4 linked regions of the Tribolium castaneum genome follow. The protein of the gene in region 1 binds, or shares a complex with, the protein of each later gene. Links are inferred from orthologs where the notes say so. Each region holds a gene or a part of one and is shown in the gene's direction. Other genes may lie near its edges. The genes, in order: Nprl3, Sec13, Nprl2 and mio.

Region 1 (3,215 bases):
TCATAGTTCAAAAGTTGCAAAATACTTCGGCCAAGTTCATCAAAGCGAAGAAAATTTTAGCTTTAGTTTTTGAACAATTGATTTATTCCGTGATACTTGTATACATTTAGAACAAAATGTTCTAAACAAATGTTCTAAACTTTCAATGTGAATATAATGACATGGTTTAATAATTTATTAAGGGTTCCCATTTTACACCCAATGATCAATAGTTTATTGATGGGTATTGTGTCTGATTGACACTTAGAACATTTGGTAGAATTAAATTTTTTTTTGTAAAATCTATGTTCTAAATTGGAACGTTATTTTCACATAGAAACCAAATAATAATGGAAAATGTACAACAAGCATATCTTAAAAAAAATAAAAATGGATTTTTATTATTATTATGGTGGATGTGCCGGGTTAATTTTTCCACAAATTTAATATAAATGATGTATATGCCAGAAAATCTGTAATAATTTGTTATAATAATTGATTCTTTTTAAACGAGCTACGCTTTTACTTCAAATATGTTAAAAAAAATAAAGAAATATATTCAAAATAGTGCTTTTACTTAAAATTTTGCAAGTAAATGCTCTAAAATGTATAAGTAAAAATGGAAGTACATATAAGCTTTTACTGAAAGTAAAGCATTTTTTAGCAATTATTTGCTTTAAAGTCGAGAATATTCTCAAAACAAAGTGAATAAAATAAAGCAAATGCTTTTTTCATTAAGCATTTACTTCAAAATTGTTGTTACCTTCGGTAAAAGCTTATACAGAATGGAATTTTTAACTGGAATAAAATTCTTTGATTTAGCCGATTTTAGTGAAAATTCCCGTAACAGGTCAATTTTTATTTTTCCTTGCCTACTGTTTCATGTATATGGTTTTTGTTTATTTGTTGTCAGAAATGCACAGCCACCTCTAGCTTTAGGCGTAGGCTTTGGATATATTCGTTACATTTGTGTAACGTTAAAAGTGGCTGGGCATTTTTGAAAACAGATAAACAAAAACAAAAACTGATGTGCAAAAAAAAACAAAAAACAAAAAAATCGCTTATATCCAAGTTACAAATTTTATTTTAGTTAATAATTCCATACTGCTTTAATTTTTTATAACTTGGGCATTGACAATATTTAGAAAACAAATAGTGCGTTTTACTGCTTTCGAACCATGTTCACTAAATGAGGGGAAAGGAAAAACAAAAAGCGATCTGTTTCTGTTTTTTTTTACAAAAATTGCCTATATTCAGGTTATGAATTTTATTACAGTTTAATAGTATTCTTTCTAAAATAAGTCACTAGACCTGGAAACCTTAAGGACACAAATAAACTATTCAATGTTGCCAACATAAATAAATAAATTCAAAGCGAGCCGCGTGTCCAGTGCCTTATTCTCTACTATGTAGGTGTTTGAAGGCTTTACGCCCTTACCACAGTTTATTATTACTGCACCCCATCCAGCAAATGGCCGATTTCACTGGACTGGATGGCTCCCCATCCTTAGAACGAATGCTAAAGCAATATTCTCCAATAAAAAACTTGCAAACTTTAGCAGCCGACGCCGACTTGACCCTCCACCATGTAAACGGCGTCCCACATCGCCAATTAAATAAATAAATAAATAATTTCAGGTTTTTGAGCTCACAGCTCATTTAGTTTACTGGGCTAAAGCTACAGTTATATTCCCCATTTGCTTGACTAACAAATATGTGATAGCTCCAGACGCCCCCATTCATCTGAATTCACCTCTGATTGACAAATTCTCAGAGGCTTTCCCCACAGCGAATTTAATTCGTGTGATTAGCGATTTCGCGCTACCGACCTCTTTGGGCCAGAAGTGCAACCCGTTGTGCCATCCGGCCCAACAGTCTCATTTAGTACAGACTATTATCTGGATGTTGCAACACCATCTACTGTTGCAACTGCACACTTATGTGCAGTATATGCCAACAGATCACGGGTTGGCAGTGCCCAGGGAAAAGGACGAACGGATCGTTTCACAAAGAAACATAGGGTATTGTAAATCAAGTTGGCGTCATTATTGGTTGCGTCATTTATTTGTGCTTAGAAATGTATTGTCCTCGAGCTCGTATCACCCGAGTACGTCCGAGCACTCGCGAGCCGAGTCCGAAAGCGGCACGTCGACGGTGTCGGAAACGCCCGAGCTTCGCAGCGAATCAGATTTGATCAACCGCAGTATAAAGTCGTGTTGTGTTTGAAATTTGGGTGTTTTTTTAAAGTTTGCGTTATTTTAGTCTCGAAAATGTGAGTTTTACGTCGGTTGAGGACGAAAAACAGGATTATCAGGAGGAGTTGCTGTTGGATTTTCCTGATGAGGAACGCGGGAATATTTTTAAAGTAGGTGTAGTTACTGTTGTAACTATTACAAAAAAAGTTTGTTTAGATACCGGCAACTAATAATCCAGAGGATTTGCGATTGTTTGCCCGATTGTGTCGCAAAGGTTATTTTCATGGGAATCACCACATTGAGGAGATAATGTATTTGGAGAACTTACGGCGCAGTCAGTTGTTGCAGCTCTTGGATAAGTTTAGGGATGTTTTGATTACGTACGAAACGGAGGATCCGGCTATAGCTATGTTTTCATACACGTGAGCGTGTTGACTATTATTCATTGTTTTCACTAATTATTTTATTACAACTGTTACAATCTTCGTATTTTTGTAGTTAATTTTTTACTGGTTGAATAAAGAAATTACAAGTTTGTGGTTGTCTATTAAATAATAAAATACAGAATTTTCAGTACAGTATAGATTAGTGAATCTTTAACACATTTTTTACCTCTACTGAGATCATTTTTCCTCTGTGCCTTATGTATAGTTTTTTTTTTTAGTTTCCAAAATTAAAGGATTTGTAATTAACAAGGTTTAATTTTGATATTACATCTCAAAACATGGATAACTATTTTATTTATTCTTCACAGGTGTTTGAGGGTATTCATAAAAATATTTCTTTGCTGTGTACAACGGTTAAATCCTTTAAATTACGCATTTTTTGTTGAGGAAGTACTGGAAAGATCTTCAACCGTGTCTTGAGTATTCTCCGCATTAGTGTTATTGTTGGTCTGAACCTCGGTCTGATGAGATCTTTGTTGCTTAACAAAAAATATTTGTATATTGAAGGACCGGTTTATAGAAAGCGCCATTAAATTTTAATTTGTTGTTAAAAGTTAACAACGCGAATGAACCAATCAAGTTGGTTCAATTTGAT
Region 2 (2,742 bases), on another chromosome or scaffold:
ATAAGAATATTAACTCTCAATAGTTTTAAAGCATTCTAAAGAACATCTATTAGAAATTTGCGATCTGTGGGAGTATTTGGCTGTAGACAAGCAACTTATCTACACTTATCCACCTTCATGAAACTTTTACAAAACCGTAATACTAGATCTAATCAGCATTTAAATTGTTACTTGGGTCCTTTACCGAATATCGAGAATATTTTCCATCTGATCGGTGTTAGTCTTGGTGGTTTGGGCCGCCTTGTCTGCTAAAATGTCCGTCAACATTTCGGTGTAATAGGTGTTTGAGCTTTCCCTCTCTTTGTTCTTTTTCACAACTTTGAGTATCTCCTTCCTGACTTTAATTAAATCAGTTTGGTTGAAAAACGACAATTTTATGTACTTCTGTTGCAAACCAATCAAATGATTTGGCTGAAAAATCGCTCATAAGTTTAGCAACAACAATTGCTCGCTCTACCAAATCCAAATCCTCCTTTGTGACAACTTCAATTTTGCCAATTGTCCCCGAGAATTTTTTCGTAAGGAACTGGCTCACTTCTTGAATGAGCTCAATTTTCGTAAGAATGTAAAAATAAGGCATGTAACAGTACGACACTTTAAAGCGGGCGCCGTCCTCTTCCATGAAATAGAAGTCAACAGCCGCCACCAACCTCTTATCCTCATCTAAAATCTCACTCTACTCAGACATTATCAAGCCAGCCCCTGGTCCATAACCACGTTACCGCGTGCATGTTTAACAAAAATCCGGTCCTTTCTAAGTTATCCCGCACCCGCTCGAAGCCGTATTTTGCGTCAATCGCGTCATTTTCAATCACTTGGCGGAGTCTCACCTCCGAGGTTTCCTCTCTAAGGCAAAATACTTAAAAACGGGTGAATGTCCCTGGCACGTACCGTGAGAAGTCCGTGGGCTTTTTTGCCAACTTGGGGTCCCGCTGGGGCCGGAACTTTTCGTTAATTTCATCCATTATTGCAGACTAACCTGTTGACAAAACAACATGACTTTCGCGCTCATTTTGACACTAGGGGAATTTCGGGTCAGGTTTTTTCAAACATCAACATAACCTTTTTCTTTGGGCTATTTATCACGTAGTTTTGGCCGAGTCGCCACTCTTTAACCCAGAATTTGTATCTGATTGATAATTTGGGCCCCAAATCGGCCAAAACTGAACGAATTAGAGGCGACGTGAGTCGGTTGGTAACCGTGTGTCAAATGTCAAGCCACGTCTGTTCCAATTTCTGGTAGTTTTAAACTGGGAAAATGGTCTCAATTTTGAATTCTATCGACACGGGGCACGAGGACATGGTGCACGACGCCGAAGTGGACTACTACGGGCTGCGCCTGGCCACGTGCTCGTCGGACAACAGCGTCAAAGTGTACGACATCAAGAACGGGGGCACAGCCCTGATCGACGACCTCAAGGGCCACTTCGGGCCCGTGTGGCAGATCGCCTGGAGCCACCCCAAGTTCGGGAACCTCCTCGCCTCCTGCTCGTACGACCGCAAGGTCATAATCTGGAAGGAGCAGAACGGGAAGTTCACCAAGTACTACGAGTACGCCAACCACGATTCCAGCGTGAACTCGGTGCAGTTCGCCCCGCCTGAGTACGGGCTCGTGCTGGCCTGCGGCAGCAGCGACGGCTCGATCTCCATCCTGAGCTACATCTCAGAGACGCACAACTGGGACGCGAAGAAGATCCAAAACGCCCACGCCATCGGCTGCAATGCCGTGAGCTGGGCCCCCGCCATCACCCCCACGTCGGGGGAGTTCCGGGACGCGGCCAAGCTGGTCAAGCGGCTGGTGTCCGGGGGCTGCGATAATCTGGTCAAAGTGTGGCGGGAGGAGGAGGACCGGTGGGTGGAGGAGAACAAGTTGGAGGTGCACTCGGACTGGGTGCGGGACGTGGCGTGGGCCCCCTCGGTGGGGCTGCACCAGCACACCATCGCGAGCTGCTCGCAAGACAGGAGGGTCATCATCTGGACGAGTGACGATGGCAACAACTGGAACTCAACGGTCCTCCAGACTTTTGACGATGTTGTCTGGAATGTCAGTTGGTCCCTGAACGGGAATATTCTGGCCGTGTCAGGGGGTGATAACAAAATCACGCTTTGGAAGCAAAACTTGCAAGGGAATTGGCAGTGCGTCAGTGATGTGGTTAAGGGCCAGGGACAGATCAATAACCAATAGGTGTATTTTTTAAATAAAACGTAATTTAAGTGGAACTGTTTATTGAGTAAACATATTACAAAAAACTTAAATTATTTCTTGGCTTTGGCCTTGCGTTCCTGCGCACGTTGGCGTTGTTTGGCGGTGCTCAAGTTGTGCCTCTTTGAGAACCTCTGGTTCTTCAAAAACTTAGAGTCCATCTGAAAGACACTTATAAATTCACACCAAACGAGTATTTTTTGCATTTTTACTCACACCAAGGGTTGATTCGTGACGGAACTGCTTCGGTTTTTTAATACCGTTACGGTGGGCCTTACGGTCTATAAAACTCGAAAATTTTGCAAAATTACAAAAAACGGACACTAAACTTACTTTGGTTGTGATTGGTGTGGTTCTTTGACTTGGCCATGTCTTGAAAATTGGGAAATTAACTCCACGAACAAGCTTCCAAGATGGTTGGAAAAAGAAAGGTTATGGCCGACCACGTTGTCACAGATTCTGGAGAATTTTAGATTTGTTAGGTTGGTGGTCTCGTGTAATAACCTCACTTTTGGTTAGCCCCCCTTGGAAAATGAGGG
Region 3 (4,101 bases), on another chromosome or scaffold:
TTTGTAATTTGGTAAACAAAAACAATAAATGGTCATTGAACGAAACGCGGGAAATGTCTGAGTGACGGTGCTACCAACCTGTAGGTGTAACAATTTGAGCAACTTCTGAAATTAAAAATTTGTCGGGAAAAAAGGATTGTTTTTTGAAATAGCCTTGCAGGACGTTGTAAAGTGTTTGATTATTTTACAAGTGGAAAAACTATTGTGTTTAAAAAATATTTGGGAATTAGATTAACTAGACACCCCCTGGTGATGACATTTCATACTATTCGAAAACAATAACGAAATTTTCTTAATTCCTTATTTAAATTCCGACTTTAGTATGCGCTTTAGCTTTGTTCATGCGGTTATTCGTGATTAAAATTGTAATTTGTTGGAATTTGAAAATGGACAAAACGTGAAAAAGATTTAATTTTTGGTTACAAAGTGTTACTAAAGCAATTACACTGAAAAAATTGTATTGTATAATACTTCTGAAAATCTACAAAACCGTAATTGAGATTAAGTACTGCAATGAAATATTAATTTAAAAAATGGTCGTATAATGTTTAACATAGCAAACAAAGAAAAAATATACAGATAAAGCATTAAATTCTTAACAGTAAGACATAAACAACATGCAAATGTTTTGTCGTAAAATATATTTTTTTGTTGGTAATATTTTATGCCGCATACGCTCGTTACATAACAACAGTCCTCGGATTTTAAGCTTGTGTTTTTGCACTCGTATTATTTACAAAAAATATTTTTTTACAAATTTCTTCCTAACATTTTGCTTGTCTCATTAACCGTATTTGCAGCGTCTTGAAAAATATGTAGCGAAGCGCAAATTTTTTTATGTTAAGTATTTTTTTGTCATTATTCTTATAAGAATTTGAGTTGGCAGTTTTTTTCAGTCTGTTAAAAGTGCGAAGCTCAACATTTCTGCATTTTTTTCCAAGGAAATGATGAATTGGATTTAAATTAATTTTAAACAATTTGGCGCCGAGAGGTATAACGCTCAAAGCGCCCTCATTTTTTTTCTACCGTACTATTTCTTTGGGTTCAAAAAATCCAGCGATTTTGTATTTCGTTTCGTTTCCTAAGTTATAGCCCTCCTTAATTTAACCATAAATTGTTGCAAAAGGTAGGTTTTTCAATGTTTTTGTAATAAGTTTTCGAAAAAGTAAGTGAACAAACAGTTTATTTCTGTTTTTTTTTTGCGTTATCTTTTATTTGTGAACATGTATTCTTTGTACCAATGATACAATAGTCAGTCCACATAGACAATGCAATTAGCCACAAAATTTGTACAATGCTCTATAAATATCCGAATTAACTTTTACCGCCATTTAAATTCAGTAGTGGCGCCGTACAGAAACCTGTAATTGGATTCTTGTTCAATGTGGATGTTTATTTATTCCAGGTTTTAAAATAAATTTTTACCAAAAAAAGCTTTACCGGGCTAATTCCGCAATTTTCAGATCTATGGAATTATATTTCACGTCAAATGTTACGAAACGTACAAAACATGGAAAATACAGGTTATGTCCTGAACAACTTTGATCACACAAGTCAGGAGGGCCCCATTCGGTGCATTTTTTTCTGTGAATTTCATCCAACAGCCGGGCCTATCATTTCGTGTCAAGTAAACATTAAAAAAAAAATGTTACGTGATTTTGCAAGTGTGTTCCAGGAACCAGAGCAGTACATTTCAAAGGAACTATTCGACAGTATTAGCGTTTACATAATCACGAAAGCGGAGTTACAGAAGAGTACAATCACTGTGTAAAAAACCGAAGCGAAATCGATGAATTAATTGCTTGTTGATTTTAATTTTAGTACTCTATCGGATTATAAAATATTGGGGTTCCCGGTCCGCATTGACGACAAAAAATATCCCCGGAACGCCTACCACTTCAATCTATGCCTAGTGTGTGACAGTAACGTCCGAACCGTTCATTACGAACCCGTCGTTATAAAACTATCAGACTACCTAATGGCAATGGAAATTGAAAGCAGTTTTTTATCGGACGGTAAAGCAGCAACGAAACTCGCCCCAATTTTGAAGCAAGTTATCGAGGAATTGAACACGAAGGGGGAGTGCGCCCTCACGGAGGGCCCCACCGCCACCCATCTCAAGGTCGTGCACGTTCGCAGCGACCCGGCCCCCGTGGCCGACCACCAGGTCCCTGTCTTCATCAAGCCCCTCCCGGACCAGCAGTGGGACTTGACCACGCAACAAGTGGCCCCCTACATTGACGGCTTCAATCACGTGGCCCGAATCGCGGCCCTCTCCGATGTCGAAAATAATTTGGTCAAGGCTTGTGTCCAAAACCTCGTCTATTACGGAGTCGTTGCTTTAGTGCCTTTGTTCCAATACGGGAATGTTTATTGCACGACGCCGCAGTTAAATATTCTGGCTCACGATGTCAATTTACAAGTAATAACAATAACAACTCATTAAGGTTGAAGGGGAACACGTTTCACTGTGTTTCTAGGCCGTCAGATGGCGCGGAATTAATTTTTTATTATCGAAATCGAAAAAAGTTTTGATCACAGAATCGTAATTAAATTTGCGCTAACGTATTAGTTTTTTATTTTTTGACGTATTTAAAAAAAAATTCATGAATTTTTAAAATAAAAAATATTTTGTAAAACCAAGGTAGGACGACGAATATTTGCTGAAAATTTAACTCCAATATCTAGAAGTCATTTAGTAAAGATTAGTTTTGTCTGCCTATTATTCATTTTCCTTCAGATGATATGCAAAACTTCTAGAAGTATAGGTTTTTTCTGTATCTCTATGCACTCGATTTTTGTTTCTACACTTTCTTATATTAATTATTATCAATGAATTGAAAATATTAATAGTTGTATTAATAAAATTAAAAATATGGAAACATTAACTAACCAAACTGTCGTTCTAAAAAAAATTAAAAGAAGTTCAGGTACGTACGAGTAAAAAATTACTTACTAGCAAACGCTGAATTCTGGATATTATACGAGTAGTTTTTATTTGTTTCGTCGATTAATTTAGTCCCTTTCAGTTTTTTTGTTAAGCTTTTTCTAGGAATGGGAAGCAGGTGTACAGTCACTATCAAAAAGAGTAACACCCCTAAAATCGCTGTCATAATTATTTCGATATGATATGACATTACTTGCAGTCCGCTCAGCTTTTTCAATCTCCCATTATTAGAAATCTTCATTACAATTTTTTTTACCAAAAATAGTCAAATTAAATTTTAACCTATTTTATAATTATTATATATTTCATTAAAATTTTAAACAAAAAATGCCATTTTTTTTTCAAAAAAGTGTTACGTTGGCACAAATTCTAATTCTTTAATAAACTGAATTCAACTTTTTGATTTAAAATTGGATTACAAAAATCGCCAAAAACAGCAAAATCATTTTCATTATACTTGTCTTTATCGCACACTTGATTTAACTCTGTGTCCCCTTTAGCCTTAATTATTTATAACTAGCAGCGAAAGAATAACTCGTTTTTAGAACAAATGTTTGAAGTATGTGGCGGTGTCCCAAAGACAGTTACCCAATTTTCGCGACGTTTTTCGCATGTTTGCCGCCATGACAAGGGGCACGACCATGCGGGACTTGTGCCTGAGATTTAATCCAGCTAATTTGCGAATAAACGAAAGGAAATTGGTACAGATTGGAGTGTTGGAAGGTCTGATTCGACGGGTTCATAAGTATCCGATTTTGTTGAGTGATACTTCTGAATTACAAAAATCGCTCTCGGGGGCGGCTAATTTGGATGAGATTTGCTGCGCCACTGGCGTTGCCACGCAACAACTCGAGGACCAGCTGGAGAGAGACCACAATATCGTCCTGTTGTGGAAATGACTGTGATAATAAAGATTTGCTTAAAAATGATTTGTTTCCGTAGCTACTGTTGCTTTATTTCCATGGTTACGATTGAGTATCCATGACAATCAAATCGTTTAAACGTTGACGTTTTTATCATTTAATAAAAAAAAACTATAAACCTATAAATAATGCTGCCATCAAGCATTCAAATTTTCATACAATTTCATTGTACCAAATTTTTTATTGCAAGTTAAATCTCAATTGAAATCCAGAGTGCCTGTTTTTTTTTCA
Region 4 (4,265 bases), about 2.7 Mb from region 1:
TTTTTGATAATTACACGATAAGTGAGTGGATCGAGCAAAAGATATATCCTTACATAATCCAGTTGGAAAAAATACAAAACCAAAGTATTGCGTTGAAAAGTGTCAATCAATGGCCGGCCAGGCCTTTGCCCCCGTTAAGGGACTTGCAAAGGCTGGGCGTGCCTTTACCTACAAATTAATTGGTAAAATTGTGTTCATTTTATTTGATATTTCAAGGAACGGTAAATACTCATGTGTACAAATTTTATTTATACAACTCATTTTGGAAGCGGTGTTTTTTACCCAATTAAAAATAGTACTTAGTTAAAACTGTACTTAGAGTTAACGATTTTTAATAAACTGCAACAATTAATCAACACAAACGCACATACACAAGACGTATCCATAAAACACTCAGTTTGTAGTTTATTTAGCCAACAAGTTTGACAATCGTCGATTAGTCGCCGATTAGCAAACGATTAAACGAAAAGTAAATTTAGGGTACTTCTAGCATCAAGGAAATAATTTACTTTTTCAACTTAATTCACTCATTAGAAATAAATGCATTCACGCACGTTAAAAAAATTTCGATTAATTTGGTGCCTTCACCGATTATGACCACCAAAACTCCGTTTTGATAAATAAAAGCCAAGCCAATGAGTCATTTTTAATATTTGATTAATAGAGATTGTAATGTTATTTACTTAAAGTTGTATATTATATTTTAAGATGTTGTTTGTTTGAAAATACAGTTTTTGTGATCTGATTTTAAGTTGTTAAATAATAGATCTGAAATCAAGAGATGTTAGCTGTTGATTACGAAGTGATGAATGTATAACAAAAATTAATAAAGCTTTAGAACGTGTGATTGTTTCGTTGTTTATGCCCAGAAATAAAAAATGATTCTCCCAATTTCAATTTTTTGGTGATTAATGGAAATCTTATTGTTTCTTATCGCCCATTTGTTTGTCCAATTATCTCTTACATAAATAGTGATTTATTGTAAGAACATGGAAATTGGCTTAGTTGTTGGTTTCTTCTACTGTTGAAGTCGACAAACTGAAAATGTTCAGCATGTAAGTATGAAGACAACAAAAATATAAAAGTACAAATGTTCGGTATTATTAAAAATTCAAGTAATATTCATTTTATGAGTGCACTTGTTGGTGTACGTTGCCGATAACAATTTAAACGACTCAAAATACAATCGTTTTATTAATTTTTTATAAAAATCACAGTTTATTTCTCCCCAACCCCAATTTTATTAATTAAAGAAAGAAATCAGAAGTAGAACAGACAACTAGGAGGGCACCTTTAACACACATCGTGTTTTTATCAAATGTAACCCTTTTTAAAGTAAAAAATTAAGGAATTTGCCCTGTTTCTCAAAATTACTCTTTAAAAAAAAAGGATTTTAAAGGTAGATTTGATTCAAAGTTTTCGCTCGCGCCGTGGAATGGCAGTGGCACCAACGCGAAGAACCAAAAGAAAACAAAAACATGACCGTAACCTCAAAGCCAAAATACATCGCAAATTCGCCAATTGTTAACCCGTTGCCTTTTTACTTATTCTAAGTATTTAATTACCGTTTTAGCTTCCATAAAATGTCCTCGAAACTGGAAATCCAGTGGACCCCCATCACCAACAAATTTATCACGTGGGGTTCCGAAATTTGCTTGTACGAGGTGCACCAAGACCGCGATAACGTTTTGCAAAGTATTAACTCATGGCCATGATCCCAATCTTACGAAAAACTTGCAGATATTAAGCTATCAAGCACGACTTCCGCCAATTTACTGGCGACAAACACCAACCACCACTACGTTAAATGCCTGGATGTTTACCCAAAATCCGATGCCGATTTGTTGCTAGCTGTGGGTTTATCAAATGGACGAATATCACTGTCGACATTCGGCCCCACGGAGTATGACGCCTTGGGGTTGACTGGGAAAGAACTGGTGCCGAGACATGCAAGGCAGTGTAATGCCGTGTGCTGGAACACAATTGAGACTAGTTGGGTGGCTGCCGGGTTAGACAAGTACAGAGCGGACAATTCCGTTCTCATTTGGGACATTATGAAGTCGTCCCAAAACAACGAAAGCAATTCGGGAAGGATGGCGGTTAACACCATGGCCCCAGGGGTGGAGCTCGCAAAACCCATAGCCGAATTTGGGGTTTCCGAAACCGCCCACAGCATGGCCTGGTTCAGCAGCAACAGCAAGGTGATTGCTGTCGGGATGAACTTGAAAAATATCAAGTTTGTCGACATCAGAGGTATTCTTAGTCTTTTTCTTTCTCAATTATTGTGTCTCACAATTTCTTAAATGTCTTTCCATTTGTGAAATATCAAAATCATGTGTTAATTGATATTCCCTTTCTTTTCCAGTTAATTTAGTCGATTTGGATGAATTCTTTTTATGTAAACAAAGGCCATATTTTTTCGTTAATCTAATTAAAAATAAATATATTTGGAACAATAAAGCGTAACATACATTATATTATGTGGATATTTCTTACAATCTTGCAAGTATGTGTCCATATTTATGTTCAACATAATAATAATAATAATAATAATAATAATAATAACAGACCTTTATTAAAGAAAAATGGGGGCGAAGTCTAGTCAAAGACTATTCACCTCAACTCCCCAAAAAAAGAATTATAAAGATATATAAAAAAATATCAAACAATAAGAAAAATAAAACAAGTAATATAAATAACTTCAGAAAGGTACAAATAGAAAACTTAAAACTAAAAAAGAAGCAATAGAGTAAATATGGAAATGGAAACGTAGCATGCGATGATGAACACCATAATTAACCATGGAGAGCAAGAAATCTTTGTAGAGTGTACGAAATTTATTCACCGAAACATTCAACTGAAAGAGTACAGTGGAGTTAAAAACTTTAACACCATTATAAGTTAGCGAGCGTTGAAAGATGGATGAACTAAACTGAGGCATAGAGATTTGTGTATTATGATGAATGTTGACATTGTGAATGCTATTTCTAAATCTAAATTTTTTCTAAGGTAGAATGGAGACGAAGTTGTCATAAGTTTAAACATAAGTGTACCCAATTGGTGTCGATACATATTTTCAACTTTCAACCAACGTAGGTCGAGTATTTTAGACAAAACATGATCGTATTTGTTCAAACCAAAAATGAACCTACAACAACTATTTTGGATTTTCTGTAATTTGTACTTTGTGATATTATCTAAGCAGGGATAGTATAAGATTAAGCAATATTTCATAAATGACATAACTAAGGTTTCTGTTAACTTTTTACGTAATTTGAAATTCAAAATTAAATAGTTCGCGTATAATAACTTAAGAGCAGAATATGATTTTTTAGGACCATATTAACATGAGATTTAAAACGACAATTTTCCGGACACTGAGGTTTTTATTTTACTGAACATCACACAACAATATTACTCCTATGTTCAATTTTTTTCTTTCTTTCACATATACTTCTGTTACATTCGACTGCATAATAAAACGAACTTCAAAGGTATAAGGTATATTTCTTCTCGCGGGGACGAATAAAATTATTTTAACTGAATAATGAAAATTCTACAAAACTGTTGACTTTAGACAATGAAACCTGGGTCTTTTTGAACATCGCATAGTTTTTTTTGTCGATGCTCAGCACTTCTTTTGGCAGTGTTTTGAGTTCTTCTGTATGTTGAATAAATTTTCGTGTTTGGCAAAACATTGAATTGTTGTCCCAAATTATTTGCCATTGAATCATTTATTCATCAAATTGATTATTAAACCACGTACTTCGTTGCTTATTACACCAATTGTAAACCATTACCACAACGTAGTAAAATAAATGGGAAAATCATTTAAGAAATTGTGAAAAAAAGGAAGAAAACTAAAAGAAAAAAACTACGTGAGTCTAAATAAGAACACTTTTATTTTGACTCACGCTGTGGTCGAAGATTATTCAATAGTTACTTGTAGATCCTAACAAAATCACAAATTCTACGCTAACCAAGGCCGTTTTTGGCGTTTGCATGGACCCGAACGACGACCGGCATTTGGCGTCATTTTTCGAGAATAATATTTACGTTTGGGATACGAGAAATTTCGAAAAACCCATCCTGACGCTGCACCAGAACAAGCCTGTGATCAAAATTGCCTGGTGCCCCACAAAGTACATTCCCAATCGTGCATAAAATTCGAAATTTTTGTTTATTTCCTTAGGTACAATCTTTTGGGGTCTTTGCAAAAAGAGAGCTCCGTGATTAACTTATACGACATACAGCACACTGTAATC

The links.
Region 2: Nprl3 (region 1) and Sec13 share a complex: the UniProt entries of both Drosophila melanogaster proteins name them as parts of the GATOR complex. The link is inferred for Tribolium castaneum from reciprocal best matches to the Drosophila melanogaster genes Nprl3 and Sec13.
Region 3: Nprl3 (region 1) and Nprl2 share a complex: the UniProt entries of both Drosophila melanogaster proteins name them as parts of the GATOR complex. The link is inferred for Tribolium castaneum from reciprocal best matches to the Drosophila melanogaster genes Nprl3 and Nprl2.
Region 4: Nprl3 (region 1) and mio share a complex: the UniProt entries of both Drosophila melanogaster proteins name them as parts of the GATOR complex. The link is inferred for Tribolium castaneum from reciprocal best matches to the Drosophila melanogaster genes Nprl3 and mio.

What each region holds. Positions count from the first base shown.
Region 1 is NC_087395.1:17,468,555-17,471,769, reverse strand, and holds the end of Nprl3 (GATOR complex protein NPRL3), read left to right. Parts: intron 1-1,392; coding exon 1,393-1,567; intron 1,568-1,617; coding exon 1,618-2,000; intron 2,001-2,054; coding exon 2,055-2,189; intron 2,190-2,241; coding exon 2,242-2,344; intron 2,345-2,390; coding exon 2,391-2,600; 3' UTR 2,601-2,709; downstream 2,710-3,215. UniProt on the Drosophila melanogaster protein: An essential component of the GATOR subcomplex GATOR1 which functions as an inhibitor of the amino acid-sensing branch of the TORC1 signaling pathway.
Region 2 is NC_087396.1:21,704,977-21,707,718, forward strand, and holds Sec13 (protein SEC13 homolog), read left to right. Parts: upstream 1-1,195; 5' UTR 1,196-1,258; coding exon 1,259-2,185; 3' UTR 2,186-2,220; downstream 2,221-2,742. Other genes in the region: PolE1 (DNA polymerase epsilon catalytic subunit 1), read right to left, coding at 185-411, 458-676, 723-846, 892-965; RpL29 (large ribosomal subunit protein eL29), read right to left, coding at 2,257-2,364, 2,420-2,484, 2,537-2,573; small ribosomal subunit protein mS37, read left to right, coding at 2,736-2,742. UniProt on the Drosophila melanogaster protein: Functions as a component of the nuclear pore complex (NPC) and the COPII coat. At the endoplasmic reticulum, SEC13 is involved in the biogenesis of COPII-coated vesicles.
Region 3 is NC_087399.1:8,015,057-8,019,157, forward strand, and holds Nprl2 (GATOR1 complex protein NPRL2), read left to right. Parts: upstream 1-1,264; 5' UTR 1,265-1,405; intron 1,406-1,463; 5' UTR 1,464-1,489; coding exon 1,490-1,627; intron 1,628-1,675; coding exon 1,676-1,767; intron 1,768-1,821; coding exon 1,822-2,422; intron 2,423-3,492; coding exon 3,493-3,846; 3' UTR 3,847-3,873; downstream 3,874-4,101. UniProt on the Drosophila melanogaster protein: An essential component of the GATOR subcomplex GATOR1 which functions as an inhibitor of the amino acid-sensing branch of the TORC1 signaling pathway.
Region 4 is NC_087395.1:14,780,380-14,784,644, reverse strand, and holds the start of mio (GATOR2 complex protein MIOS-B), read left to right. Parts: upstream 1-1,419; 5' UTR 1,420-1,523; intron 1,524-1,573; 5' UTR 1,574-1,583; coding exon 1,584-1,695; intron 1,696-1,740; coding exon 1,741-2,253; intron 2,254-3,949; coding exon 3,950-4,142; intron 4,143-4,192; coding exon 4,193-4,265. Other genes in the region: hexosaminidase D, read left to right, coding at 1-179. UniProt on the Drosophila melanogaster protein: An essential component of the GATOR subcomplex GATOR2 which functions as an activator of the amino acid-sensing branch of the mTORC1 signaling pathway.